Oryctolagus cuniculus: one gene and its partners. The protein of the gene in region 3 purifies or fractionates together with the protein of the main gene of each other region. This does not show direct contact. Links are inferred from orthologs where the notes say so. Each region holds a gene or a part of one and is shown on either strand. Other genes may lie near its edges. The genes, in order: C1QBP, GNAS, MAGED2, NAP1L4 and NAP1L1.

What was found.
Region 1: the proteins of MAGED2 (region 3) and C1QBP purify together in Homo sapiens (affinity purification with mass spectrometry; 3 studies listed by BioGRID and IntAct, counting the BioPlex papers as one, with this or other methods). This does not show direct contact. The link is inferred for Oryctolagus cuniculus from reciprocal best matches to the Homo sapiens genes MAGED2 and C1QBP.
Region 2: the proteins of MAGED2 (region 3) and GNAS purify together in Homo sapiens (affinity purification with mass spectrometry; 3 studies listed by BioGRID, counting the BioPlex papers as one, with this or other methods). This does not show direct contact. The link is inferred for Oryctolagus cuniculus from reciprocal best matches to the Homo sapiens genes MAGED2 and GNAS.
Region 4: the proteins of MAGED2 (region 3) and NAP1L4 purify together in Homo sapiens (affinity purification with mass spectrometry; 3 studies listed by BioGRID and IntAct, counting the BioPlex papers as one, with this or other methods). This does not show direct contact. The link is inferred for Oryctolagus cuniculus from reciprocal best matches to the Homo sapiens genes MAGED2 and NAP1L4.
Region 5: the proteins of MAGED2 (region 3) and NAP1L1 purify together in Homo sapiens (affinity purification with mass spectrometry; 4 studies listed by BioGRID and IntAct, counting the BioPlex papers as one, with this or other methods). This does not show direct contact. The link is inferred for Oryctolagus cuniculus from reciprocal best matches to the Homo sapiens genes MAGED2 and NAP1L1.

The regions. Positions count from the first base shown.
Region 1 is NC_091448.1:50,895,169-50,901,376, forward strand, and holds the start of C1QBP (complement component 1 Q subcomponent-binding protein, mitochondrial), read left to right. Parts: upstream 1-2,291; 5' UTR 2,292-2,379; coding exon 2,380-2,605; intron 2,606-2,892; coding exon 2,893-3,043; intron 3,044-6,208.
Region 2 is NC_091442.1:3,426,355-3,430,383, forward strand, and holds the start of GNAS (guanine nucleotide-binding protein G(s) subunit alpha isoforms XLas), read right to left. Parts: upstream 2,801-4,029; 5' UTR 2,786-2,800; coding exon 898-2,785; intron 1-897. UniProt on the Homo sapiens protein: Guanine nucleotide-binding proteins (G proteins) function as transducers in numerous signaling pathways controlled by G protein-coupled receptors (GPCRs).
Region 3 is NC_091453.1:38,860,423-38,865,364, reverse strand, and holds the end of MAGED2 (melanoma-associated antigen D2), read right to left. Parts: intron 4,606-4,942; coding exon 4,526-4,605; intron 4,434-4,525; coding exon 4,391-4,433; intron 4,074-4,390; coding exon 4,011-4,073; intron 3,187-4,010; exon of another isoform or gene 3,058-3,186; intron 2,883-3,057; coding exon 2,768-2,882; intron 2,373-2,767; coding exon 1,926-2,372; 3' UTR 1,918-1,925; intron 1,724-1,917; downstream 1-1,723. UniProt on the Homo sapiens protein: Regulates the expression, localization to the plasma membrane and function of the sodium chloride cotransporters SLC12A1 and SLC12A3, two key components of salt reabsorption in the distal renal tubule.
Region 4 is NC_091432.1:762,411-768,737, reverse strand, and holds the start of NAP1L4 (nucleosome assembly protein 1-like 4), read right to left. Parts: upstream 3,821-6,327; 5' UTR 3,683-3,820; exon of another isoform or gene 3,658-3,682; intron 2,743-3,657; exon of another isoform or gene 2,720-2,742; intron 1-2,719. UniProt on the Homo sapiens protein: Acts as a histone chaperone in nucleosome assembly.
Region 5 is NC_091442.1:78,567,706-78,573,242, forward strand, and holds part of NAP1L1 (nucleosome assembly protein 1-like 1), read right to left. Parts: intron 5,468-5,537; coding exon 5,382-5,467; intron 4,036-5,381; coding exon 3,933-4,035; intron 1-3,932. UniProt on the Homo sapiens protein: Histone chaperone that plays a role in the nuclear import of H2A-H2B and nucleosome assembly.

The DNA of each region.
Region 1 (6,208 bases), on a different chromosome or scaffold from region 3:
CGCTGTGATCTTTTTTTCCTTCTTCGTAGGAAGTCGGGGGCAGTGTGGCTTTGCTCCTTCCCGACTGCCCAGCCCTTGTTGTCTGCGTTTGTTGGGGGGACATTGAGGGTCTCCACAGTCTCTTCCTGTCCAGATATTTTGAGAAGGGAAAGACACTAAAGGTTCTTCTCAGCTATGTCATCATCAAAAACAAATGCTCTTTCCCCAGGGAGAGTCTGGCCTGGCAAGATCTGTCCTCTTATTGTGTGGCATTTTGTCACTGTTTACCAAATGCGTCATCTGGCTGATAAGCAGGGAGCAGACCTGCCTTAGAGGCTCTGCAAAGACAGCGCAGTCTCCACCCTGGGGCAGGGGGGGAGCGAGGGGCACCCCCACTGCAGCGTCTCAGCTGTCTCCAGATGTGTGTGTCCAGTCCCGCCCTGTCAGCATGTGTGCCCGAGCCACCAGCCCTCACTCAACACTCAGGTTTTCAGCCAGGTTTCCGGGGTGTCAGCACATGTGGTTTAGTTGTGGTAACAGTGGTCACATGTAGATGAAATGGGATGTGACTGATCCTATATACCTCACCTCACAGTGTGGCTTTTCCACACGTTGCTGACTTTCTGGAGTTTTCCAGAAAGTTCTTTCTGTTTTGTTTTTAGTGTATTTTTCTCATTCATTTAATAGAAAGCAAGGATGTTTAGCCGAAGCTGACGAAAGAAATATAATGTATTTTAAATAAAACATTGGTCATTCTGTTAAAAAGAAATGGGGGGTGGGGGATAATTTATTAGGCTCCTCAGCAAATCCTCTAGCGAGAGGTATTCTCCAGGTCAGGTAAAACTCACCTTGCGTAATTTATATCCGGCTTAAGCACCCGAGAAGTTTCCAGAGACTCATGTTCTTCTCCGGGGGGCAGAGGATGCAAACAGCTTCTAAGTAGCTTTCATGTTTCAGTACAGAAATATGTTTACCCCTGTAACACTGAGGTAGTTTTTAATATAGTATTTAGTTTTCTATTGGGCTTTTAAGGAAGTTATTTTTTTATCATAGCTGCTCAGGGATGAATCCAGGTTGGAAAGCCCACCCTAGCTCCACGTCACTAACACAGAAATAAGACCTGTCTGTCGAGCTGCAGGGGATGCTACACCTTAAACTTAGCGCTTTCACAGTGACACTGCACCATAGCCCCGAGCTACCCTTTCCCACCTCCTCTGAGCGGCTGTGTGCAAACAGTGTCCTCAAGCAGGCGGCGTGGGGCGTGGCTCAGGCGGCTGTCCTGCTTACATCATCACAGAGGGTGAAACGTGGGGTAGGGCACCTTTCCTTACAAGGGCGAGGACCCCAATCCCTGTCCTTGATAAAAAGCTTTCATGCTGCAAACCTGCTGACTGGGAAGGAGATGCCAGATGAGGACAAGGTTTTGCTCGGGGAGGGAAATTGCACTGTGATACCTAAATCCTCCGTCCACTACGGATGTGGCCATGCATCTCTGACACCAGTGCTTTAGCATAAGAGAAAGCACGGGCCCCGTGGGCGAGAATGTTATGTTGTATTTCATAAGAATATTGTAACCTGCAGAGAAATCCCGAGGGAGGGAAAAAATCAGGTTGGCTCAGGCGTACGTTGTATTTTGAGTCTTAAATAAAGCTATGAAAAGATCAACTCCTGTGTATATATATAATGCTCACATTCGCACCTGACTAGCAAGTGTCCATTGAGAACAAGTCTTGTACATGATGCATGTCCCTTCTTTCTTGTGTGTCCTTGCCCTTATTCACAGAAAGCTGTTTTGAAAATATTAAGTATTAGCCTTACGATTGCCACAAAGCTAGGGAGACATTTTCTTGGTACCTTCCACACCCTGGCGAGTGCAGAACCAGATGTTAGCCATGGCTTCTGGCTCCCGGCAAAATGACTTTGCCTGAGAACTTGGATGCAAGGCCGGAGGGAGCAGGTGAAGCCAGTCACGAGAGGTTAACCATGGGCACCGCGCCTCGCGCCTCTGGGTCTCACCTGGCTGCAGTGAGGGGAGTCAGCCAGGCAAGCGAGCAAAGCCAGGGCTTGATGCACACGAGAGAGCAGAGAAGGCCTGCGAGAGGTGTGCTGCCGTCGAGTGTGGAGGACGTGTGCAAGCCTGGCGCGCTCTGAGAATTAACCACAAAGCTCTGCGCACCAGACCCCAACACACTCCCGGGGCGGTCCAGGAATCCGGATTCGAGGCTGCACCGGCGGTCCCCGGCAGAGGGCGCCATCCGGCCCGCGGTGCCTTCGGTCTTTGGAGCGCCGGCGGCGGGAGACGCTTCCGGGCGAGGGCGGGCTTCCGGCGGCGGGAGGTCACTTGGGCGCTTTGGCCCGGGTCGTCCGTCGCCGCCGCACGTGTCTGACGCCGTCCGCGCGATGCTACCGCTGCTTCGCTGCGTGCCCCGCGCCCTGGGCCCCGCCGTCGCCGGCCTCCGCGCCGCGGCCCCGGCCCCGCCGCTCCGGCCGCTGCTGCTGCCCGCGCCCCGGCCTTGCGCCCGGCCGTTCGGGCTGCTCAGCGTGCGCGCGGGCTCGGTGCGGCGGCCCGGCCTCCTGCGGGCTCGCGAGCCCTGCTCCTGCGGCTGCGGCGCGCTGCACACGGAGGGTGAGGGGCTCGCGCGTGGCGTGGGGGACCTGATTCCCGACGGCGACTGACAGCACCGCTCCCCGGCTCCCCCGGCCCCGGGTGCGGTTTGGGGGGTGGGGTGCTGCGGCGCTCGTGACGGAATTGGCTTCTCCGGGCGAGCGGATGCAGCTGCCCGCTTCCAGGCCGGATAGCGTTGGGGAGGCGAGGCGGATGCCGGGCAGAGGGCGGCGGTCCCCGGGTCCCCGGGTCCCCGGGTCCCTGTCGGGTGCTTGGCGCTCCTTGACGTCTCCGCGATTCCTCCCCAGGAGATAAAGCCTTTGTGGATTTCCTTACCGACGAGATTAAGGAGGAGAAGAAAATCCAGAAGCATAAAGCCCTTCCCAAGATGTCTGGAGGCTGGGAGCTGGAGGTGAACGGCACAGAGGCTAAACTCGTGCGCAAAGTGGCCGGGGAGAAGTAAGTGCACGGCGCGCCCCGGGGTGCGCGGCGTGGGGCGGCCTCTGGCTCGGGACCCTAAGCTCGCTGGAGCCACATGTCAGCCACCCCGTGTGACTTCACAGCGGGACCCTTCCGCAGCCGCCCTGTCCCTTCTTCCCCCTCCGGCCCCTTGAAACCGCCAAGCTGCCTTCTCTGGATTTGCCTGTGTGGGACATTTTGTGTGAGTGGGAGTCATGCAATATGTGGCCATTTGTGTCTACCTCCCCCCCCCCCCCCAAGATTGATTTATTGGCTTGAAAGGTAGAGTTAGAGACGTCTTCCATCCACCCCAACAGCCAGAGCTGGGCCAAGCTGGAGCCAGGAGCCAGGCAGCAGGCACTTTTTCCATGTCCTCCCACGTGGGTGCAAGGGTCCAACACTTGGGCCAGCTTTTTTTTTTTTTTTTTTTAAGATTAATTTATTTGAGAGGCAGAGAGTAAGAGAATTACAGAGAGAAGGTTACAGAGAGGCGTCTGAGCAGGGAGCTGGATCCAAAGCAGAGCAGCCTATGGGTGCCAGCGTTGTAGGCAGCAGCTTAGCCAGCTGTGCCACAACACTGTCACCCCCGCACCCCCGTTGTTTTTGAGGTTCATTCATACTAGTAATAGCATGTACCAATAGTTAGCTTTTTTAATGACAACATAATATTTCATTATGTGGATATGCTAGATTTTATTTATGTAAGGAAATGGGAGACAGACCAGAGGAGACAAGATACGAAGTCAACGGCCAAAATCAATTAAGAAGAAAAATGGGAGCCAGCGCTGTGGCATAGCACGCTAAGCTGCCACCTGCGGTGCCTGCATCCCATATGGGTGCCGGTTCAAGTCTTGGCTGCTCCACTTCTGACCCAGCGCCCTGTTTCTGCTCCTGGGAAAGCAGCGGAAAATGGCTCAAGTGCTTGGGTCCCTGCACCCACATGGGAGGCCTGGAAGAAGTTCCTGGTTTCCATCTGGCCATTGTAGCCATTTGGGGAGTGAACCAGCAGATGGAAGATCTCTTTCTAACTCTGTCTTTCAAATACAATAAATAAATCATAAAGGAAAAAAAAAAAGACAAGTGAATTTGCAAAGATGGCCAACCACTGGCATGCGCACAGACAGAACACGTGGCCGAGAGAGCAGGAATTTATTTACGGGCTGGATTTAAATAGCATAGGCCTGATAAGGGCCATGAGGTGCAGTGGAGCTGAGCTAGCTTTTCTATGGAATGCAGAATGCAGAGGGTAGGGTGGGCAACAGTACAGGGCGTAGGACTGAGCTGGTCTCTTGAAGGAAGGTAAAGGGTCCCTCAGGCAAAGAGCCACAATGCCTGAGGCTCATGTCCTTGTTCTGTCAGTTATCCATTCATTTGTTGGCAGGCATTTGACAGGGTTCTATTTACTTTGTGATTCTGGTTTTTTATTTATTTATTTTTTTAATTTTATTTATCTGACAGATAGTTATAGACAGAGACAGAGAGAAAGGTTTTCCTTCCGTTGGTTCACCCCCCAAATGGCTGCTACGGCCGGCGCTGCGCCAGTCCGAAGGCAGGAGCCAGGTGCTTCTCCTGGTCTCCCATGGGGTGCAGGGCCCAAGCACTTGGGCCATCCTTCACTGCCTTCCCGGGCCACAGCAGAGAGCTGGCCTGGAAGAAGGGCAACTGGGACAGAATCTGGCGCCCCGACCGGGACTAGAACCCGGTGTGCCAGGCGCCGCAATGCAGAGGATTAGCCTATTGAGCCACAGCGCCGGCCTTTACTGTCGTTTTGAAAGACAGATAGCTCCCATGTGCTACTTCACTCCCTAAATATTGAAATGTCCAGGTATAGGCTACGCTGGAGCTGGGAGCTGAATCCAGGTTACCAGGTTATTGCCTTAAAGGTGGGCTTTAGATATTCTGGGTGCAGTTCCCCTTATCAGACACAGGGTGTGCAAGTGTTTTCTCCCATCCTTGGGTGTTTTTTTCCTTTCCCTATGTTATTGGTATTGACATACACTTTTTTTAGTTATTGTTTGACTACACCAAGTGAACTATTTTTTTAAAGATTTATTTATTTATTTGAAAGAGTTACGCAGTCACTCCCCAGTTGGCCACAACGACCAGAGCTGTGCCAATCCAAAACCAGGAGTCAGGAGCTTCTGCGTCTCCCACATGGGTGCAGGGGCCCAAGGACTTAAGCCATCTTCTATTGCTTTCCCAGGCCATAGCAGAGAGCCAGGTATGGAGTGGAGCAGCCGGGTCTCAAACTGGCGCCCATATGGGATGCCTGCACTGCAGGCCAGGGCGTTGACCCGCTGTGCCAAAGCACAGGCCCCAACATACACTTCTAATTTTGATGAAGCTCAATTTACTGGGTTTTGTTTTTTGTGTATGTGGGCTTTTTTTTTGTTTTTTTGTCATTTGTGCTTTTTTGACATCACATTTGACAAACTGTTGGGTAACCAAAGTTTCTAGATATTTATGCCCGGATTTACTTGTAAGAGGAGTTTAGCTCTTTAGGCCCGTGATCACTTTGAGTCAACTTTTGTGTACAGTGTGAAGTGTAGGGTTCTGATGCTTTTTCCCCTAGGGTGCAGGGGTTTCGCCCATACACAGTGTCAGTTGACGACTGAAGCTTCACTTGAACTTTTCTTCCGGTTTTCGTAGCCAGTTTGGGGCCGTTAGAAATGATACCCTGATGAACAGTGCTGTGTTTCTGTGTCGAGGAACTCAGCTTGGTCAGCGTGGTTGCAGATAGTTTCTGGGGCTGAGCCTCAGCCTGCCGCTGTTGCCTTGGGAAGGAGCAGCCCGTTAGCTGAGCAGTGGTGTGCAGGGTGCGGGGTCTGCGCTGCCCAGCCACACCTGGTCTACCCCACTGTCACAGGGATTGTGACTCAACCTTCGGAACATGGAATGTCACGAGGATTCTTGTACCTTACGGTTGTCATGTGTTGGTGTTCCAGCCCGTGGGATGAGTCCACAGTGAACGCACTGTCCTTTGCCTGGCCTTGTCTTCCAGGGCGCAGGCCTGCTCTGAGTCCTCAGGTGTATCCCCGCAGTGTGCCTTCCCTTCCTCCCAGCGGCAGATTTTGTCATGGAGAAAGCTTTTTTTTTTTTTTTTCTTTTTAAAGACTTGTTTGTTTGAAAGGTAGAGTTGTAACTCCGGTTTACTCCCAGATGGCC
Region 2 (4,029 bases), on a different chromosome or scaffold from region 3:
AGCAGGCTAGATGTCCTCCATCCCCCACCCCAGCCACTTCCCATCCCCCTCCAGGTGAGTGTGCTTGTGCGCAATGCTGAAATCCAGTGTGCAGCCCCAATGCCCCAGATACCTGTGCTGCGTGTCTGGTTTTTCAACTGTAAAGGCGGGAGGGTTTGGCGAACGAATGAGAAGTGAGGAAACACTTAGCGCACAGGGAGAAAGAGAGAAAGACACAGAGGAACAAGGTTACCGAGGCGCCCCCCCGGGCCGGTGGCCCAGCCGGGTTCCGCCGCGGAGTGCCGGCGCACAGGTGTCATACGAGTGTGCAGACGCGCAAAGTTTCAGCCCGCGCCATGGCGCGCATCACGACAGCCCGTCCCCAAGTACAAGTACACGGTCGGCGGGTAATCCGGGGATGGGGGGGTTGCCGGGGATGGGGAACACTTGAGCGTGTCATGCACAGGCGGACACAGAGAATACGCACACCGACACACACCAACGACAAGCTGGCCGAGAACAAGCCGTGCCAGGCGAGGCGGGGGCGCGCCTTCCCCGATGGCCCTAGCCCACCGCGGCCCCAACAAACCTAAGCCGGCGGAGAGTGGGCGCCCCTTTCCGGCAGTTCCCGGCTCACCTGAAGCCCCCGCCTGTCCAGCTTACGGTCGCTGGCGCTGGCCTGTCCAGCCGGAAACGACCCTCAGTGTCGCTCGGCACCACTTTTCTCCCTGGAGGGCACACACCTCGGCCACCCGAACCCGCCCCAGCTCCCCTCCCGCGCCCGGGGCAAAGTTAGGGTCCCTCCGTGGAACTTCCTGGCCGTGCCCCCTCCTCCCGCGGCCGAGCCCCGCGCCCCGCGCCCCCTCCCCGGTCCCCGGCGGGGCTGCTGCCCCTGGGCAGAGTCCGCCGCCGCGTTACCTAGAAGCAGCAGGCGGTGAGTGCACATGTAGCCCATCTTCTCGGCCTGCAGCTGCTTGTCGATGAGCCTGCTGCGTTTCTTCTCGGCGCGCTTCTGGGCGCGCTTCTCCATGGCCTCCCTGCGCATCTGTCGGCGCTTCTCTGCCAGAGAAACCTTCTTGGCCTTGCTGGGGCTCGCGGGCTTGGGCTGGGGGCTCTCAGATCGACCACCGAAGCAGCCCCCGAAAGCCTGCACGAGGAAGTTGCGGAGCAAGTTGCGCCGGGGCTTGCGGCGGCGGCGTGTGCGGCGCTGGAACCAGTGGAAGCAGCCGGCGGCCCGCTCTTCGGACTCGTCCCCGCTGGAGGAGTCGGCGTCGCCGCTGGTCGACCCCTCGTCGTCGTAGCGGCGGCGGCTTCGGCCGCGCTCAGCTCTGCCCCGCCAGGCAGCCGCGCGAGCAGGCCGCGGAGTAGGCGGGTCAGCAGCCTGGATCTCGGGGCTGGGGGGTCTGAGCAGATGGAGCCTGCGTCTGGCCCCGGAGGCAGGCGCGGCGGGGGCTGCCTGGGGGGCCCCGGCGGCTGCGGCGTGCTCGGCCGGGGCACCAGGGGCTCCACCGGCGGCAGGGGCTGCCCCGGCATCAGGAGCGGCTGCGGCGCCGGGGGCTGCGCGGGTGTCGGCGTCGGCTTCGGCATCGGCCGGGGCTGCCCCGGCGGCCGCAGTGCCAGGAGCGGCCGGGGCTCCCCCGGCTTCGGGCTCCGCCGGGGCGGCGGGAGCGGCTCCGGCGGCGGGAGCGGCCCCAGCTGGGGCGCCCGAGGCTCCGTCCCCCGGAGAGGGGACTTCTCCTTTCTCCGCAGAGGCGCTGACCGAGCCTCCTTCCATCTCGGCTGCTTCACCCTCAACTGGGGGTCTCTCGCCGCGCTCCCTCTTATCTGGGGCTCCGGAGACCTTGATGGGCGGGCCATCACTCGCGATTGGGGGGCTGTCCATGCTGACGGGAGCGTCGTCGACCCCGACGGGGGCGCTGCGCATCTCGAGCGGGGGTCCGGCGATCTCCATCGGGGGGCTGGCGCCCGCGAAGTTAGCAGCAGCTCTGACAGCCTCTGGGACCCAGAGGGGTGGCGCGTCGGTGGCGGGAGCGAGGCAGACCGCACTCGGGACCGCGATTGCCGCGCTGCTGCCACCGTCGCCGTTGGCAACTTGTGGGAGCGCTCGGGGGAGCCCGGGGGGTGGGCTGTCGTCCCCAAAGGCCTCTCCATCAAGCTGAAATGGCATAGCCTCCTCGGGGGGAGGGCTATAGCCTCCTCCAAGGCCAGCGCTGGCAGGCCTGAGCGCCCCGGACTTCCCGGGAGGAGCTCCAGGGACCCCCAGGTCTGTGCCACCGGGAGCGAGGTCGGGGACCCCCGATGCTGGCTGGCTGCAGCCTCCCTGGCCAGCAGGCTCCTCGAACTCAAAGGGCATGGCTTCTTCTGGTGGGGGGCTGTAGCCTCCCAGGCCAGGCCCGGCACTGCCCGAGACTCCGGGATCCACAGAGGCCTCGAGGCCTGCGATGGGCCCTGGGGTGGGCCAGAAGCCTCCCACGCTGGGCTGCTGGACCTCAAAAGGCATGGCTTCCTCGGGAGGTGGGCTGTAGCCTCCATCGCCTCCGAATTCCTGGTCAGCTGCCACGGCGAGGCCCTCCAGGGTGCCCCCGGAGACCTCAGGGGGTTCACAGGCCTCGGCGCCAGCCTGTGCGGGGACGGGCTCGCTGGCAGGCGGCTGGGTCTCCATCTCTTCGGCTGGGCCAGGCCCAGCACCGGGGGCAGCTGGCCCTGGGGCCTCCAAGGCTGGCTGTGGAGGCTGCTCCCCGACTTCAGGGGGGAGATGGCGTTGTCCTGACATATTATTGCCGTCGAGGCAGTAGCGCAGGCCCATAACACGGTGGCGGCCTCTTACAATGATGTGGGGGCTCCGTGAGACGGAGCACCCAACCGAACTAGGGTGAAAAAAATTATTTGAAAGGAAGAAAGAAAAAAGTACCAGCTGGGAAGTTCTGCGGCCTCACTTCCCGAGCGCACTCAGGGCCTAGAACCCCAGACCATGGCCAAGGCAGTGCAGTTCTGGCTGGTGAAGTCTTGGCTCCTTCCTGGCCACTGGTGATTCCCTCAGGCCCCCACCCGGCCTGCTCGGCCTTCGTCCCCTCCTCTCTCTCTCTCTCTCTCTCTCTCTCTCTCTGCTCCAGGCCAACACAGACTGCTTGGATTTGAGGAGCGTGCCGATTCGGTCCGAAAATCGCCAGTCGCGCGCTCTCTCTGCCACCAGAGGACGCAGGTCCCGGTGCCAAGCTGGTTCCCTGCACCGCCGGCCCGGCTTTGGGTAAGGGGCTGGCGAGCGCAGGCCTCGCAGGGACGTTTGGGCTCCTTCCACGCCTCTCCCTGACTGATTTGGAGCCTTTCTCCTCGCTTCTCCCCTTGGCCACACAAAGCTCTCCTGCGTTGCGAGCGAGACACGTGACACAAGACGTGGGCCTCGGGATGCTGGAGAACAGGAGCAGAATCGCTCCCTCCCCGCCCGCGCCGACTCTCCTCGGGGGGCGGGGGACTGCAGAGGGCTTTCTTTTTCTTCCTTCACCCCAGGATACCCCTGCACCCCTGCGCCGAAGCCCCTAGCCCCAGATCTCGAGCCAAGCGTAAGGCTCTAGATGCCCGGGGACAGTGGCGTGCGCGCGCGGGAATGCGACAGGTGGTCGTGAGCCCACCGGAAGGGCAGGGAGGAGGATGAGGAGCGAGGGGGGCTGTCGAGAGCGAGCGCACAGTTTGTTTTGTAAAACGCCTTGGGTACACTTGCCGCGGTCCGCCGTGGCGAGGCACTTTAGCATCGCCCACCCCCGTGGCTCCTGGGGTCTCCGCAGTGGCCGTGGGCGGCGCAGTAAGGGGTCCCTCTGTTTTTGTGGACAATGATGCGACGCAATATGGGGGTCTCCTGACTGCACCATGGAGAACCAAGCCAAGCCCCCCGCCTCCCCGCAGTGTAGCGGCCGCGGCGGCACGGAATGGGGGTCGCGGGACACGCTGGGGAGCCGAGCCCCACGGGGCGCAGGTCTCAGAGCGCCACACATCCTTCCGCTCTGGGGAAGATTTCGGCTGCGGGGTTTATGGCTGGTTTGGGGGTGGTCTCGG
Region 3 (4,942 bases):
ACCCACTAGAGCCCTTCCTGAGGCCAAAGCTGCCTCTGACCTTGTCTACCTGTCCCTGGTATTACCCAGTCCCCAAGGAGACCATGGTCTAGTCCCTAATGTAAGAATCTGCTTTCATTGATAACCACCATAGCAGTGAACACACACTTCAATTCAATAACTTTCCCACTTTTCAATCCTATTGCCTAAGCAATAAAATGCTCTGCCCTTACTACAGAGGGAAGAGGTGAGCATTACAAAGGCCTCCTTGTCCATAAAACTGCCCCAGTGACTGCAAGCCTGGAAATACAAGGATCAGAGATGGTGAAAGCTTCATGGGGAAAGGGCCAGGGCAGTACCCACCTCCAATCAGGGCACTGGATCTCTGAGAGCAGGGGTCAGTCCTCTCTTAGTGGGTAGTGTAACTGGGAGAACACCTTCAACCACAAAAGGACTTTGGTACCTTGTTCATAATATCCCCACCTCCACCACCATTTAGGTGATTTTACTGTCCCCAAGGATAACCTAACCAGTACCCTGACCTATGCCATTGACCTCACATCTGCAGAACTATCATCTCTCATCTTCCATCCCCTGTCTTTGGACTTCACCATCACCTACAGCTCTGCTGTCTTCTTCAGTAGAATCATCCAACTGTCTGTCTAACTAGCCCTCCTGTTTGTCCTGTCAACAACCCTTCCTAAATCCTTGGAATACTGCCAGACATGCAACAGGTGCTCAGGCACCTAACCTTCTATCCCCATTCATGGTCTTCACTGAGACTCCTATCCATACATACCTGCACAGTCTATCACTCTCTTCATGTCTCCTCATAAGCCCACCTATGGTCCATCTCTTCCACCATCCCATGTGTCTATGTGCAGAAACTACGGAGTCAGTAATGAAGATCGAGATTCATACACTGACATTGCTGCCATTGGGCCTGTGTCTTTATTCTGATCCAAACACCAAAACTCAAAACTGGGAATAAGCCGACACTGCTCTGCTTCTCAGTCCCTGCACCAAGATTACAGAGCATCTTGCTATATTCCCCCTCAAATCATGGGCACCATGTCCTATGGGTGCTTCCCCATTGTTCAACATCCTTCCACAGTCTCCTGTCAGAGTCCTGTCTGGACTTTCCCAGGTCCCATCCCCATCCCAGAACCCATTCAACGTCTTCCTCTCCACTGGCTCTTGCTCTGCTCATTTCTCCTTCCCCAAGAAAATGTTCCCTTGTTCTTTTATCTCCTTTTGTCTACCTGCCTCTTTCTCTCCTGTCTCACCCAGATTTCTCAAAAGGAGAGTCAACATGTCATTTCCAGTCTCTTCTCCCTCTGCTTCCTGCTCCAGACTTGCCCATCCCAAACCTCTTTTTCGAATTGTGTCCTTGGTGCCTCCAATCCACCTGTCTGCACCCCCACTGAAATCCCACCTGCCCTATTGGCTAGAGATGGGGCTCAACCTAGCCCAGAGAAACAGGCTAATCTCACTCCTGGGGATCCAACAGTATTATCAAAATAAACATAGATTGAGGTGGAAATATCCCGCATTCCTTTTTAAATGTGATGCCAAACTGACAGCCCACCAAAAAAAAAAAGCAAGAAACTCAGAAATGGCAAATAGATTTAATGCAGAGTGTCAACTTCAATTGATTGATAGTGGCTGCCAAGAGTGCTATCTTGAGTAAGTTTCTGAGGATGCACCCTGGCTTGAGGAGAAAGACTGCTGGGATTAACAATATCTGAAAACACAAGTAAAAGAAAATCAAAAAAGTCAGGTAATATCCACCAAACACGAAGGAATAAAATGCCAATGCCAACAGTGTCTTTGCACACCCTCCACTGCCTTCTCCAACCCAGGCCTTCCAGCAGCAGCCCAGCTCCACACCCCATCCCTGTGGGCCCCAGCTAGCCCCACCACAACCAAGGCAGATACCTGAAATCTCACTTGTAGGAGAAACCACAGGCACCAGAGCTGCCACTGGTGCTGGCACCAGCACCGCCAAGGCCAGCAAAGAGCCCAAACGTGAGAGTGGCAGTCAGGCTGGCACTGGCACTGAAGCCACTGCTGGCACTGGCACTGGCACCAGTACTGGTACTGGCACTGGTACTGGTACTGGTACTGGCACTGGCACTGGCACCACCACTCTCTTGGGCTTTGGCTTTAGCTTCAGCTCCTGCCTGGATCCGGGCTTTGGCCCAGGGTCCAATATCAGCTTCATCCCAGTTGCAGGGCCCAGCAGCATTCTCAGAGCCAAGCCCAATGCCCATTCGAGCTCTAATCTCAGCCCTCGCCTTGGCTTCAGCTGCAGCCTCAGCTGCAGCCTTCAAATCTGCTTCCATTGCCTCTCGGTACTGAGCTGCCCATTCCTTGGGATCCTTCTTTTGTACCTGAAACAACAGCCACAAGAAGGGTCATATTTAGAGAGCACCTAAATAAGGCACCAAGCTATAGGCTGTATTTAATATTATGAATACAGTTAAGTACTACTACCAACTATGTACCTAATAGTCCATCCTTGCTCTGATACTTATTAGCTTTATGACCTTGAACATGTCACCTACTAACCTCTCTGAGTCTCCGTTTTCTCATCTGCAACACGGCAATGACATACTACTTGTACAGGTTAAATAATTCAGATAAAAGTGCCCGGCATGGTGTTTGGCAATTAACAGACGCTTCTGATCGCTGAGATATGAACTACAGGCTGCTCTGCACATAGCTGGCCCCATCCAAGGGCACACCATGCTCTCAATATGCCAAGTTTAGGTAGCTCTCCAATTACCTTGCAGGCAAACTTGAGGACTTTCATCTTGCTGGTCTCATAGTAGGAGCGCAGGCCCCAAAAGAACTCATACTCAGGGGGATTGCTATTGGGGACTCTGGCATAGTCCAGGTACCTAGAAAAGAGAAGTTGAAAACCTTTATTTCTAAGACAACCCAGGGCCCACCAAGGCAAAGACTAGAGAGACTTTATGTGGTGATGTGCTCCACTGAACACTGCAACTTTTCTTCCAACATTGAGCCTCGTGCCACTGGTCTTGCCTGATAGCCACATGAAGGTGCACAGGGCACATGTGTAGGGCATTAGTTTGTAAAGAGGCCACAAGTTTTATGGACCTCATCACAATGACCCAAGATTCCTGTTGGGTGTGTTGTAAACAGAGGAGCCATTCTTCAGGCCCCTTGCTCTGAGCACACCCCACCCTAAGGGTTCTTATCTGCAATCTGGCTAAACCCTGGAGAGGTCCACCACAGAAAAAGATGGTAAAGGAAGAGATAGCCATGATCAGAATGCTGCAGGCATAGTCCTAAATTCCTGACCCTGTGTGTGAGTGTGCCTGTGTTCCTGTGTGCTCAGGTGGCTCTGAGTGCCTATGTGTGTGCTTGCACATTCTTCAAAGGCCAATGACATGGCAGGTTCTCACCAGAAAGTCAGGAGGACTGCTCTCCAGGCCCAAACAAGCCCCTTAGCAGCTGTGGGCCATACTTAGAATTCCCCTCTTGGAGTCCCACGTTCTGCGAGTACAAAACAGGGATGGGATAACCACACCTGTTTTGCAGGGCAGTAAGAAAATGAAATGAGATATACAAGTTACACCCCCCAGCCTGGTACCTGGCTACGTAAAGACACCATTTTATGGCATTTCTTTATGAGAATTAATGTCTAAGATGCCCTGGATAGCACAGTGAAATGAAGCAAGCCTGTGGAGCCAAGTCCTAAACACCATTCTTTCATCTGCTACCTGTGTAACCCTAAGCAAATGGCATTGCCCCTCTGAGAATCGGTTTCTGCCATGGACAATGCTAGTGATGATAATCTCTCCCTTGGAGAGACAAATGTGAGAGTACACAGAGTAATAGATTAGGAAATGCGTGTTACTCCTGTTCTATGTTCACTGCTCCAGAAATAACCCACCAGCTGCATGCACGCATGCACGCACACACTGACACACACCATGGTTGTATTACTCAGTTCTGAAACAGATAAAATGCATGGACCACACCAACACCAGAAAGACACTTACTTCTGCTTCACAAACTCATCAGTAATGAGCTTTTTCACATCCCCAAAGAGTGAGTGATGTATCCTGAGAACAGAAAAATGAAAATAAATAAATAAAGACAGTTAGGGCTGTGGCACTTCCCAGATGTGGTCAGAGGTGTTTCCAATATGAAGAAGATTTTCAGCACAGAGGGAAGCTCCATCGAAGCTGAAGAGAGAGTGAGAGGGAGCAAATAGTTCACGGCCACTCACCCAACCACCCGGGTCAGAACCCAGGACCCTCTACCCAGCCCATCACCCCCCACCCGCGCCACCAGACCACCAGGCAGATGCAATCCTGGGACCGTCCTCTCTTGCCAAAGGACAACACGGACAGCAAGCGCTGAGAGAGCCCAATCATACCCAGGGCGCAGCCCCAACTTGCGCAGCACCTCCCAGATGACAGCTGCAGGGGGAGGCAAGAGGAGACAGGGCCGAAAATGAACACACGGAATTCAGACCCCAGCCACCCGTTCAGCTGCGTGCCCCGCCACTCACCCTCACTGGATCGATTTCCATTCATGAAGATGATGCTAAGCAGCACCATGAGAAGGCCCAGCTTGGGTGAGTCCTTGGTCCTAAGGGAATAATGGACAGAGAAAAGTTTATGTGCAGGAGCCATCTGCAAGTCACATCAGGTGAGCCTCTCACAGCTTCCCTGGATATGGCAGAATTCTGTCCTGTCCAGGCTTCAAGCTCTATGTGACCCTGGGCACGGTACTTAAGATTCATGGACCACAGACTCCAATACAGTGAAATGAGAAAATCACACCCTCTCCTCCCCAGGTTACCAAGAAGATGGATGAATGCCTGTCAGCCTGGTACAGCACAGACACGCAGTCAATTGTGGCTCCTTTTCTCTCTCCCTTAGCCCTCAGAGATTTCTAGGCAGAGCCCTGCTGACACTAACGGCCT
Region 4 (6,327 bases), on a different chromosome or scaffold from region 3:
GGTGCCGTGGGCTGGGCCCTTGCAATGCCAGCATTCCACATGGAGTCCCACTCCCTGCTAATGTGCCTGGGAAGGCAGAGGGAAAGTCCAAGTGCTTGAGCCCCTGCGCCCATGAGGGAGACCGGGAAGAGGCTCCTGGCTTCGCACTGGCGCAGCTCCAGCCGTTGTGGCCACCTGGGGAGCCAGAGGATGGAAGACCTCTCTCTGCAATTCTCCCTTTCAAATAAATAAATCAATCCCTCAAAAATAAAAGCCTACAGGGCCCGGCACGTGGACGAGCTGCTGGGGTGCTGTGGGATGCCCACCGCAGTGCCTGGTTCAGGTCCAGTTCCTCTGCGGAGGATCCAGCTTTGTGCTAACGCACAGGCGAGGGGCAGCTCCCGACAGCTCGGGCATGGGGGGGGGGGGTCCTGCCACCTGCTCTGAGCTCCTGACTCAGCCTGATCCAGGCCATAGGAGTCAACCAGGGATGGAAGATCTGTCTCCTTCAGATTAAGAAATATATATAGAAGAGGCTTTAGGACCACATGTAATATGTACATGCCATTTAAAAATAAAATATCTTAAAAATCACACAACATGCTCACAGACCGGGCCAGCGCTGTGGCCTGATGGGTAATGCCTGTGGCGCCGGCATCCCATACGGGCACCAGTTCTTGGCCCGGCTTCCACTTCCCATCCAGCTCCCTGCCGATGCACCTGGGAAACTAGCAGTGGAGGATGGCCCAAGTGCTTGGAGACCCGGATGAAGCTCCTGGCTTTGGATCGACCCAGGTCTGGCCTTGCAGCCATCTGAGTGAACCAGTGGAAGGAAAACCTCTCTGTCACTCTTTCAAATAAATCTTTAAAAAAAAAAAAAAAAAAAACTGGAAAAAAAGACTTACAGGTAAGACCGGCAAATAGTGACAGGAACGGGGCCCCTGCTCGGTCTTGAAAACCATGAAATCTCTTGTCAAAAAAAAGCACAAACCACGATGGACAGTGCTCGCCTGCTGTCCCACTGAGACACTCGCTCTGCAGGGCAGCACGGAGTGTCCACTTCCCACTGCTGCTGCGAGTCTGCCCGTCTCTGCGCACGGCGGGGGTGGAGACCCCGGGCGCCCGGCGGCCTGGGAAGGCTCAGGCCGGAGATGGCTCCTCAGCTCCACAGCGGCGACCTCTGCCACCCTGTCCACCTGCGCACGGGCAGGGCCCTCCAGAGTCCTGCTGCAGGCCAAGCCAAGGCCTAGAAGTTAACCCAAACCCTCTACCTCCACGTGGGGCACAGGGGCCTGTCCCCACCCCACCCCACACTGTCTTCTGGGGAACTCACTGGAATACGACGGATCGAAGCGAGCGTCAGAAAGCCCAAGTGCTCCTAACCCAGTACTCAGAGGCCACACTGCCCTGTTAGCAGCACCTCCTCCCACGCCACATCATGCCACGCCGGAACCACGGGCCCCAGCTCCCACTGCTCACCCACAAGCGAAGCGACAGACACTGCCTGCCAGAACGCGGTCGGTGCAGCCCCAACCGACCCTGCACAAAACCACCAGGCCAAGACGATGCTACGCACTTTTGGACAACAATGAAGCGCAGAGTTCACCTCTCAGGAGCACGGGCTGAGAAGCCGCACACAGCGGGCTCTCCCACAGCACGGAGGCAGGACACGCCTCTCCAGCTCCCGGGCCAGCCACGCTCAAGACCAGCGGCCGGCCGGGGCGGACCACCAGTGAGCGCCACAGAACACCCCTCCCTCCCCACTGCGGACCACGCCTCCCGACAGCCAATCCCAGAATGCTTCTCCCTCTACCCTTCGCTAAGGCCTTCCACACAGACAACGCAGCAAGCCAGGCGCCCAGCACGCCCAGACCGGACGAGGGCGGCTTCCTGCGACTCCTCGGACTCCTAGGCCGCTTCCCCCAGCGCAGGGGCAGGGGCAGAGTCGGGGCGGCTCCCCCCAGCACAGGGGCAGGGGCAGGGGCAGAGTCGGGGCGGCTCCCCCCAGCACAGGGGCAGGGGCAGGGGCAGAGTCGGGGCGGCTCCCCCCAGCACAGGGGCAGGGGCAGAGTCAGGCGGCTCCCCCTGGCAGAGGAGCAGAGGGAGAGTGGGGCGGCTCCCCCAGCACAGGGGCAGGGGCAGAGTCGGCAGCTCCCCCCCGGCACAGGGGCAGGGGCAGAGTCAGCGGCTCCCCCCCCCCCCCCCCCGGCACAGGGGCAGGGGCAGAGTCAGGGCGGCTCCCCCCAGCACAGGGGCAGGGGCAGAGTCGGCGGCTCCCCCGGCACAGGGGCAGGGGCAGAGGGAGAGTGGGGCGGCTCCCCCCAGCACAGGGGCAGGGGCAGAGTTGGCCGCTCCCCCCGGCACAGGGGCAGAGTCAGGGCGGCTCCCCCTGGCAGAGGAGCAGAGGGAGAGTGGGGCGGCTTCCCCCAGCACAGGGGCAGGGGCAGAGTCGGGGCGCCCTCCCCCCCACAGGGGCAGGAGCGGGGGCACACGGCGCCCACCCCCCTGCTGGGCTCAGTCTTCCTCTCCAACAGAGTAGGTGCACCAGAGCCTGCAGGATTCGCACCGACAGGAGGAGGGAGGCGAACCCAACTCCTTCCTGCCGCTTCTCCGGCCACACTGGGGTCCCCTCAACAGAGCCCGTGACCCCGCGCCCGGCCCCGACAGCCCACCGCAGATCTCTCCGGCTCACAGGCGCCGGTGAGGGGTCTGGGGGAGTCCCGCAGGCCTCGACGCTCACCAAGCACAATTCCCAAGTTCGCTGCGCGGGTCGGGAGCGGGCAGGGAGACCACCGCCCGGCGGCTCCCGGGGCACCTGTGCGGCCTCCTCACGGACCCGCTGCCTGGCGAACCGCAAGGGAAACCGGGTCAGACCAGCAAGCCTCCCCTCGCCCCGAGCAAGTGAGAAGCCACCGACACGCGCAGGAAACGCACTTCCGGGAGCTCCCGCTCCCACCGCCAGGTGGGGCCGCCGCGCCCGCAGACCCCGCAGACCCCGCAGGGCCCCTCCAGGCCCCTCCAGGCCCCGCGGGCCACGGCGCGCCCTGGCGCCGAGAACCCCAACGAGTTGCCGCCCTCGGACCGCACGGGGCCCCCCCCGGACCTCCGCCACCCCAGCAGCGCCCCGGGCCCGCACTGCGAGTCCTCGGCACGTGACCGGGCGGCCCGCCCCTCTGGAGCGTCTGGCGGCCGCCCGGCCCGCGAGCGGCCCCGACCCGAGCCGCCGACTTCGCCGCCTGCGGACGTGCAGGGCGCTCAGCGGCGCGGCTCCCGCGCGGGGCCCGGCGGCCCACAGGCCGAGCCCGCGACCCTCGGCGGGGAGCTCGCGGGGGTCCGCGCTCTGCTGTGCGTTCTCTCAGCGCCCCGCAGCGGCCAGGGCGCCCCTCCGTGCTGCACCCCCGGGCGGGCCGCCTCGAAGGCGCGGGCCCAGGCTCCCGCTCGCGCGTCGGGCCACGGCGCGGGACAGAGCACCCCTGACCTTCAGCCCCGGCGCGCGCGGCCGAGGGGCGGGCGCCCAGCGCGGGCCCCGCGGCCCCGGCGAGACCCGCGCCCGCCCCGCACCGCCGCCGCGGCCCTGCCCCGAGATGGCGCCCAGGCCCCCGCGGCCCGCCGCGGCCCGCCGCGGCCCCCGCCCGGCCCCGCTCCGGCCCGCCCACCGCAGGCCCAGCGCGCCGTTACCCGGCCGAGCCTCGCAGACCCGCACCTCACGCCTCCTGCGGCAGTAGCGGCTGCGGCGCTCGCTTCGCTCGCTCCGGGGGCTGCGCCGCCGTGGCCTCCAACAACGCTGCTTCCCATTGGCCGAGCCTCCAGGCCCTTCCCTCCGCCAGCAAAGCGGGCTGCGATTGGACAGGCGCCACGCAAGTCAACTGCGCCTGAGCGCGGCGGGCGGCGACCAATCGGAGGGCGCGCCGCGCGCAGACCCGCGAGGCGTATGCAAATGAGAGCGTGTGATGGCATCGCCGGCGCGCAGCGCGCGTTCCCGGGGGCTCCGCTGGTAGAGGGCGGGCGCGGCGGAGCGGGGCGGGGGTGCCCTGCAGCCCCCCTTGCTCCGGGCGCGCCCCTCTCCGTCCGGGGTGGGCGTGGGGGTCGCGCCCCCTGCCCCGGGCACCGCCTGCGTCTCGGGGTCTCAGCAGCCTGGCTCGGGCCTGGGGCACACCCGGCCGCGCCCGGGGGCACGCAGGGACGCGGGGCCCCGGATCGGACCCCGAGGCCGCCTGGAGCCGTGCAGGCGCGGGCGGTCGGTTCCGCTCCGTAACGGGGCTCGCGCGCCGAGGGCTGGGGGCGGCGGGGTGCGGACGCGCATTGCTGTCTGCAGGCGGGGACGTGAACCCCGGAGGAGCCGCGCAGGGTCAGCTGGGGCAGGGTCCTCGGCGGCCAAGACGGCTGCGCCCGGGCGCACTTCCTCCGCGGCTCTCGCCCTCTCGCTCTCCCGGGGTCCCCTGGGTCGCGGGCCGAGGGCACGGCCTGGGACGCCTCTCTGTCCGCCCCGGTCACCCGCAGGGAGACGTCCGCCCTCCCGCTGTGGGCACGGCCGGTGGGTCTCCTGTGGCCCTGCGGCGGGTTCAGTAGCAGAAACGCGTCCTTGGTTCTGGAGGGCCGGGGAGGGTCCTGGTCTGCCTTGCTCTCTCCTTTCTTAGAGATTTATTTGAAAGGCAGAGCTACAGAACAAAAGGAGAGAGAGAGAGAGGTCTTCCATCTGCTGCTTCACTCCCCAGATGGCTGCAGGGCTGGGCCAGGCCAAAGCCAGGAGCCTGGAACTCGGTCCAGGTCCCCCACGTGGGTGCAGGAGTCCAAGCACTTGGGCCATTGTCCACTGCTTTCCCAGGCCGTTAGCAGGGAGCTGGGTTGAAGTGGAGCAGCCGGGACTCGAACCAGAACCCATACGAGTCCGGTGCTGAGCAGGTCAAGCTGCCACCGGTGACACGGGCGTCCCATACAGGTTCTGGTTCTGGTCCTGGTCCCGACTGCTCTGCTTCTGATCCAGCTCTCTGCTGTGGCCTGGGAAAGTCTCGGAAGATGGCTCAAGTCCTTGTCCCCTGCAGCCACGTGGGAGACCAGGCAGGGGCTCCTGATCAGCCCAGCTCCGGCTGTTGCAGCCACTGGGGAGTGAACCAGCGGGCTCTCTCTCTCTGTCAGATAAATAAATCCTTTTAAAAAGGAGAAATAGTAAAGGACGCCGGCCACTGGGTCCTGGCACTCGTGCCCATCCCTGGCTCGCCTCTCCCTGTCCCGCAGGCACCAAAGGTTGGGACCTGCACAGAATCTGGGGGACTGTGCCGCGGCCCACGGCACACACCGTCCTGGCTCGTCCACGGCCTGTGCGGAGGGTGGTGGCCTTACAGGACAGGGACTGCTGGGCGACAGCCCCAAGGCCAGCTCTGGGCGACCTTGGGCCGATGCCTGGGCCTCTGCTCCCCATCTGTGGAATGGGCACTCGTGACTCCTGCATCACAGGGCTGCAGGCAGGGCCGGAGCGGCCCTGTACGGTGGGGACACTGCCGCGGACTCGGCCCACGGGGCCCGGAGCTGGCGCCAGGCCGGGCGGCCAGACTGCTGGGTCTGTCTGTCGCCCACCCTGGCCGGGCCGGCATGGTGGAGTCCACCTGGCCACACCTGCTGCCCCTGGAAACCCCATCTCAGGATTGGATGGGAGCGAAGTGCCCTCTGCCTCCCCTCCCCAGTGCTGCCACTGCCCCCCCCCAGCTCTGCTAATGTCTGGGCCTCACTTCCCCCCCAGCCCTGGCAGGGGGCACGGCAAGGGAGGAGGGGTGGCGGGGCACAAGCCTCCCGGGGCATCCGGGAGCCTCCAATAGCTCAGGGAGCCTCACACCCCCAAATATAGGTCAGGGGAGGCGCCCAGAGCAGGCGGCTGCGGCACCGTGGCAGCACGGGGAGGGCACTGGCAGCACGCCCCGCCCCGGCAGAAGGGGAGGAGGCAGCTGCTGCCCTGTGTGCACAGCCCTGCACAGTGACGGCGGGGGGACGGACCGGAACAGGGCCCCGAGTCGCCCCAAAGGTGCTTTTCTGTGCCAGAGAAACGGTTTGAGAATGCGGTCCGTGTCCTCGGCCCGTGGCTGCTTGGAGCAAGAGTCAGAATCGGGGCTGCCCAGCACCCCCGAGGCTCCTGCCTCTGCCAGCTTCCAGGTTCCGCGGCTGGCGGCTCCCGCCACACACGGGGGCCCACTAAGAGCCCAGGGTGGGGCAGAGGCCAGGGCCTGCCCTGCGGTGGGGGGAGACAGGCCTCCGCCCAGTCCCCACACGTGACACCTGATCTGCCCTAGCCTCCTGGCACGTCCCCTCAATGCCTGGGGACAGCGTTCCCAGCGTCTGTGTCTGACAGAGCTGCCC
Region 5 (5,537 bases), on a different chromosome or scaffold from region 3:
AATTAACCTAAAAGGAAAAGGAATCAGACTAACACCAGGCTTCAAAAGAAACTGTGTACAAAAAGAAAATGAATTATAATGTTAAAAGATATTTTGAGAACTCTAAATTTACAACTTCATGACCAAACTGTTATTCAGATATGAAAGCAAGATAAAAACTGTATCACACATATCAGGCTTCAAGAGGTCTGCCACAGATTTACAAAAAAAAAAAGAAAAAGAAAAACACACAGGAGATTCCATATAAGGAATGGGTGGTCAAATATCTTGGTAAATTCCACTGTTGCCTTGAAGGAAAATATAATAAGTACTATTTTTAAACAATACAGATACTGAAAAATTTTAGCTTCAAAACAAGAAGACAATCTTACTCAATGAAAAGTGGAAAATAAAGAAAAAAGAAAGCACAACAAACGAAGATACAGGGAAAGATGGCAAGTGTTAAGTCCAAAATAATATAACCTCCAAGAAACAAAGTTGAACTTACTAATAAGAAGCAAACATCCTTACTGGAGGAAGAAAAAAGAAAGCAGGAGTAGGTATTTACAGAACTTACAGCAACAAAAAAGAAAATCATAAAATACAAAGGAGGACACTATCAGTAAAACAGAAGAAAACAAGATACATATATCACAAACACCATCAACCTAATAATATGGCTTCAAAATGTATCAATCTGCAACTGATAAAACTAGAGAAAGATAAATCAGGAGATTTTTAACCCATCTTTGTCAAAAACTTAGATCAGGCAGACAAGTTATAAGTCATGAGCTATTGATTCTAGCACATATCTTTATATTTAACATTTACTTTAAAGAAAGGTATTAAAGCCATAAAGATAGATTGAAAAAAAAATTACATGAATTAAGCATGTCATTAAAGAAACTGGAAAGAGGTATAGAAGAAACCTAAGAAATAATAACAGTACAGCCTGAAATTAGTAAAAGAAAGCAGCAATAAACAAAAACAGTATGGAAAAGGAAAATCTAAAGCAAAACTGTCCTGAGTAACACCAGCAAGGTCAAGACAATTGGCAAAACTAATTAAGATTCAAATATTGAATATGAAATGGAAAATAAAAATCAGATACTTAAAAATACCATAAATCACAATACTAATAGGTTTAAAACCTATACAAAATGCATACCTATTGAGAATCTAGAACTCCAAAATCAAGAGACCTTGACTGTATCAATTAAAACAAAGATAGTCAGCCTCAAACTCCAGAAGCCCAAGTAAATTTTTAGCAGAGTTCTACCTAACCATATAGGAAAACTTCATTTCTACCTTATACAAGTTGTTAGAGAAAAACAGACCAAAAAGGTAAAAGCAGTCCCATTCATTTCATTGAGCAGTTGAAATTAACTCCAAAGCTGATTAAGGTACTACCATAGCTTGAAAGTTTCTTTATCCCCATGCACATGTGCGCGCACACACACACACACACACACACACACGAATACACATTAGATTAACTAATTAACAATGTAACAACACATCATGATTAAGTTTATTCCAGGAATGCAAAGCCAGTGTATTTCCAAAATATGTATTTAACAGATTCAAAAGATCATCTGAATTGATACAGACAGTTGTACTTTTAAAAAATAGGCACTGAATTTGGATTAAAAAAAAAAAACAGGCACTGAATATAATGGAGATACTCATTCCCAATAAAAGTGGAAATAAGATAAAGATGCCCATTTTAATCCTAATGCTGTTATAAACAAAGAAAATAATTTGAAACATGGAAAATTAGAGCTAAAACTGCCATTATTTGCAGCTAAGATCTGCCAGGCAGAGGGAAAAAAGCACAAAACAAATTGGTAAGCAAATTTACCAAGTTACTGGTTACAAGGTCAATTTTATACAAATCAATAGCACTCTGTACATCAGGAATAGTCAATCGAGTAATACAATTAAAAAAAGAGACCATATTCACAAAAGCAACACAACTAAAACATATGGATATGAACCAGACTGTAAAGAAAACTGGAACTATTTAAGACACATGTGATCTAAATAAATACAAGTATACAGACGAAACAATATTTTAAAATGTAATTCTCTAATGAATCTATAAACTCAAGGTAATTTTTACCAAATTTTTGAAGTTTTTTGTTTGTTTTGAGAGCCCTGACAAATTTAACTGTCAACTCTATCCAGAACAAAGATCGGGTTAGATCAGCTTTAAGATTATGTTGGATAGTGGAGAGACATGGAAGGAAGCAGCCTGCCTTGCCAAATGTTAAAAAGACACACACTATGGAGTCAAATGGATTGTGATGATGATAAAAGAACCAAAGACAATGGAACAGAAGAGCGCTGCTCAAAGACAAACACAAGTATTTATAAGAACTGGATTTGTAATAAAAGGCAGTACACAAATGCATGAGGGAAGGACAGATTTAGTTAATTCACTGAAAATGAAGGACGCAGGGAAAGGGAATGGATGCTTACTTAACACCAAATACAAGGATAGCCTCTAGAGACTAAAGGCCTAAATATGAAAGGTAAAACTAAACTAGTCAATACCGAATGCAGAAGGAACTAGAAAGGAGTTCTTAACTTCAAAAGCACAAACCATAGGGCAAAACATTTTACAAAAATTAAAAATTTCTCTTTAACTGAGGAAACAAATTGGTAGAACTGACACAATGCATTACTTACAAAATCTAAATCTGACAAGGAAACATACAGAATACAAAAAAGATTTCTGCAAAAAACAAAAACAAAAACAAAAACAAAAGACAGTAACTCTAATAGCAAAACAAAGGATGCATGAGTAACCTAAAAGGCTCACCAGCTTTATGAAGTCATTAGAAATAAGAAAAATACAAATGAAACAAAATCAGCCCCCACTTCTTTCTTCTTGTGGCTTAAAAATAAATGCGTAGGAGCTAGCATTGTGGCACAGCAAGTTAAGCCGCTACTTCCAACCCCAGCACTAATGAAGTGCCAGTTCAAGTCCCAGCTGCTCCACTTCCATTACAGCTCCCTTCCATTGTGTCTGGGAAGGCAGCAAATGATGGCACAATTTCTTGGGCCCCTGCCAACCACATAGGAGACACAGATGGAGTTCCTGGCTCCTGGCTTCAGCCTGGCCTGGACCTGGCTGTTGCAGGCATTTGGGAAGTGAACCAGCAGATATCTTTCCCTCTCTTCCTCCTTCCCTTTCTCTCTGTCATTTAGTTTCAAATACGTAAAAATCTTAAAAGTAAAAAAAAGTACCTAAAAAACTACAAAGTTGGATGATGCCAATTTTTTGCAGACATAAAGATAAAGCACCCTTCATGTACTAGATATAGAACTTTTGGAAATCATGCCAGAAGTCCTCAAGCCTTGCATATGCCATTTAACTAAATAATCCCATAGCTGAATACGTATCTCAAAGAAATTCTTACATAGTTCCTTAAGAGGACATGCGCTAGGATGTCCATCACAATAAAATTTTCATTGATGGGGACAGGAATCTTTTAAAGAAAAAGAAGATAACGAATAGTGGACACACACTACAGAGAAGTTGGCAACATTCAGAAACTACTAACTGGAGACACACAAAGATAGCAGCCTGAACAGCCTTAAAATCATGGAAGATACACAGGCTATTGTTAACAATTTAGGTCACAAAAGAGTAAGAAATCTACATTTCTAATTTTGTGCTCTTCTAATAAACCTAAATATATCTCAGAAATGGTTAAGATCAGTTTGTTTCCTGTGGACTTAAAATAAATTTTAAATCCAACTCTAAACAGGTAGTACTGAGCAAAAATTCCAAACTTCCAAGAATCCTCATCATCCTGGGTACTAACAGACATTAAGGTTTCCACTATTACATACATAAATCCTAGGTGGCCTTAAAAATAGATACAACTGGCAATGTTGATCACAGAAAGATAAATAAGGAAAGGGCTACAGAAAAGAACTTGTACCTTTCAATGTATCCTGTTGGTGTTTCTACCAAACCATCAAGTCTTTCTTGAAGGGCTGCAAGAATCTGAGGATTTTGCATCATCTGAACAGTCAGTTGACGCGCTTTAAAAAAAAAGGGGTATTGAAAGAAGGATTTTATGAAAATATATTATGCTTTATAAAATAGGTCAATCCAATCATGAAAATTTTCCTGACTCACCCAAAAACTGGTGAGTAGAGATGAGCAGAACAAGCTTAAGAAAATACACTCTTAGAAAACCCAATGTTTAGGAAATGTTGAGATTCTAATGATCTCTAATGCATGACATTTCTCAAGGCCATTGCCACAACTATTAACAGTATGTTTTCTCTTCCTAGTGCCTTGTGTCTCACCCACCTTGCATTTTGGGAAGCTCAAAGCTTCATCCAGATGCCTATCTATGACTCTTGACATTCCTTAGATGGTAAGCAACACATACCAGAAAATTGCAAAGACAGTGACAATTTTAAGCCTGGGAGCAAGACGGAATGAGTGATCTGAATGAATGTTTATGTTTGATGATTGTGTAGTGTACCTGTGTATATATGAATAAAGCTAATGGTTGAGATAAAGGTTATGACTGAAGCCAAACAAAACTTGCTTGCTAATGGCTTCTAAAAATCATATTCAATCCAAATAAGAGCCAGATTTATGCAAAACAAATGCTATCTTCTCTTCATCAATTTAGATAATACACAAAACTGCTATTACTCTTCCCAATTTGGTTCTTGGAGGTCAACTTACTTCTGATACTAATTCAATTAATGGATGATATTCAACTGTGACAGTCAACATGCATTTAGAAACATCAATATTGGACACTGAAGATACAGTCCTGTATCTGGTAAGAAAATGCTACAAGATGAAAGCTTTAAGTTCAGAGTCTTTTCACAATTAACCTCCATGTAGCTCCAAAATGAAAAGTCTCAGGTCACCTGGAACTTAACATTCTTGGCCCAGATCTACAGGGCATAACAAAAACAATATAATTCTTGGCCACTACTCTTTAAAAAATTATCTAAGATAAATTCTGAATGATTTTTGCCTATACTTAATACATTTTTTGATTAGAAGAATCTATTTTTAGATGCTATATATTTTCTATATATTAAACATGGAAAATGCTGTTTAGAAGCACCACTAAAAATCACAGCCATGACTACCTATTAAAATTTCTAAATTTAGATGAAACTAACGGCAGTTATACCATGTCATTCCAGCAGAAGAAGTTGTAAACAGTGATGTCTGATGAGTCACTATATCCACAAACGTCCTTCCTTACACTATACCCTCCCCCAATACACAAACTCTTACTGAACTGGAGGACATGTGGACAACAAAGGCCCCCCCAGAAGGGGAATGGTACTTATTACTATCCTCTAGAAGACATGTGCCAACCACTGGCACCTGAAGTAATTTAAAATAATACCTTTGATTTTTGTTTCTTCACCAGTTTCTTCTTCTTCTACTTCTTCAACATCATCCAAATCTTGATCAAGTTCAGACTGTTCTTTGCTACAATATCATAGTATCACACCATGGTTCAAATGTACCCATTATAGAAAAAATTATAGAAAACTTAAAT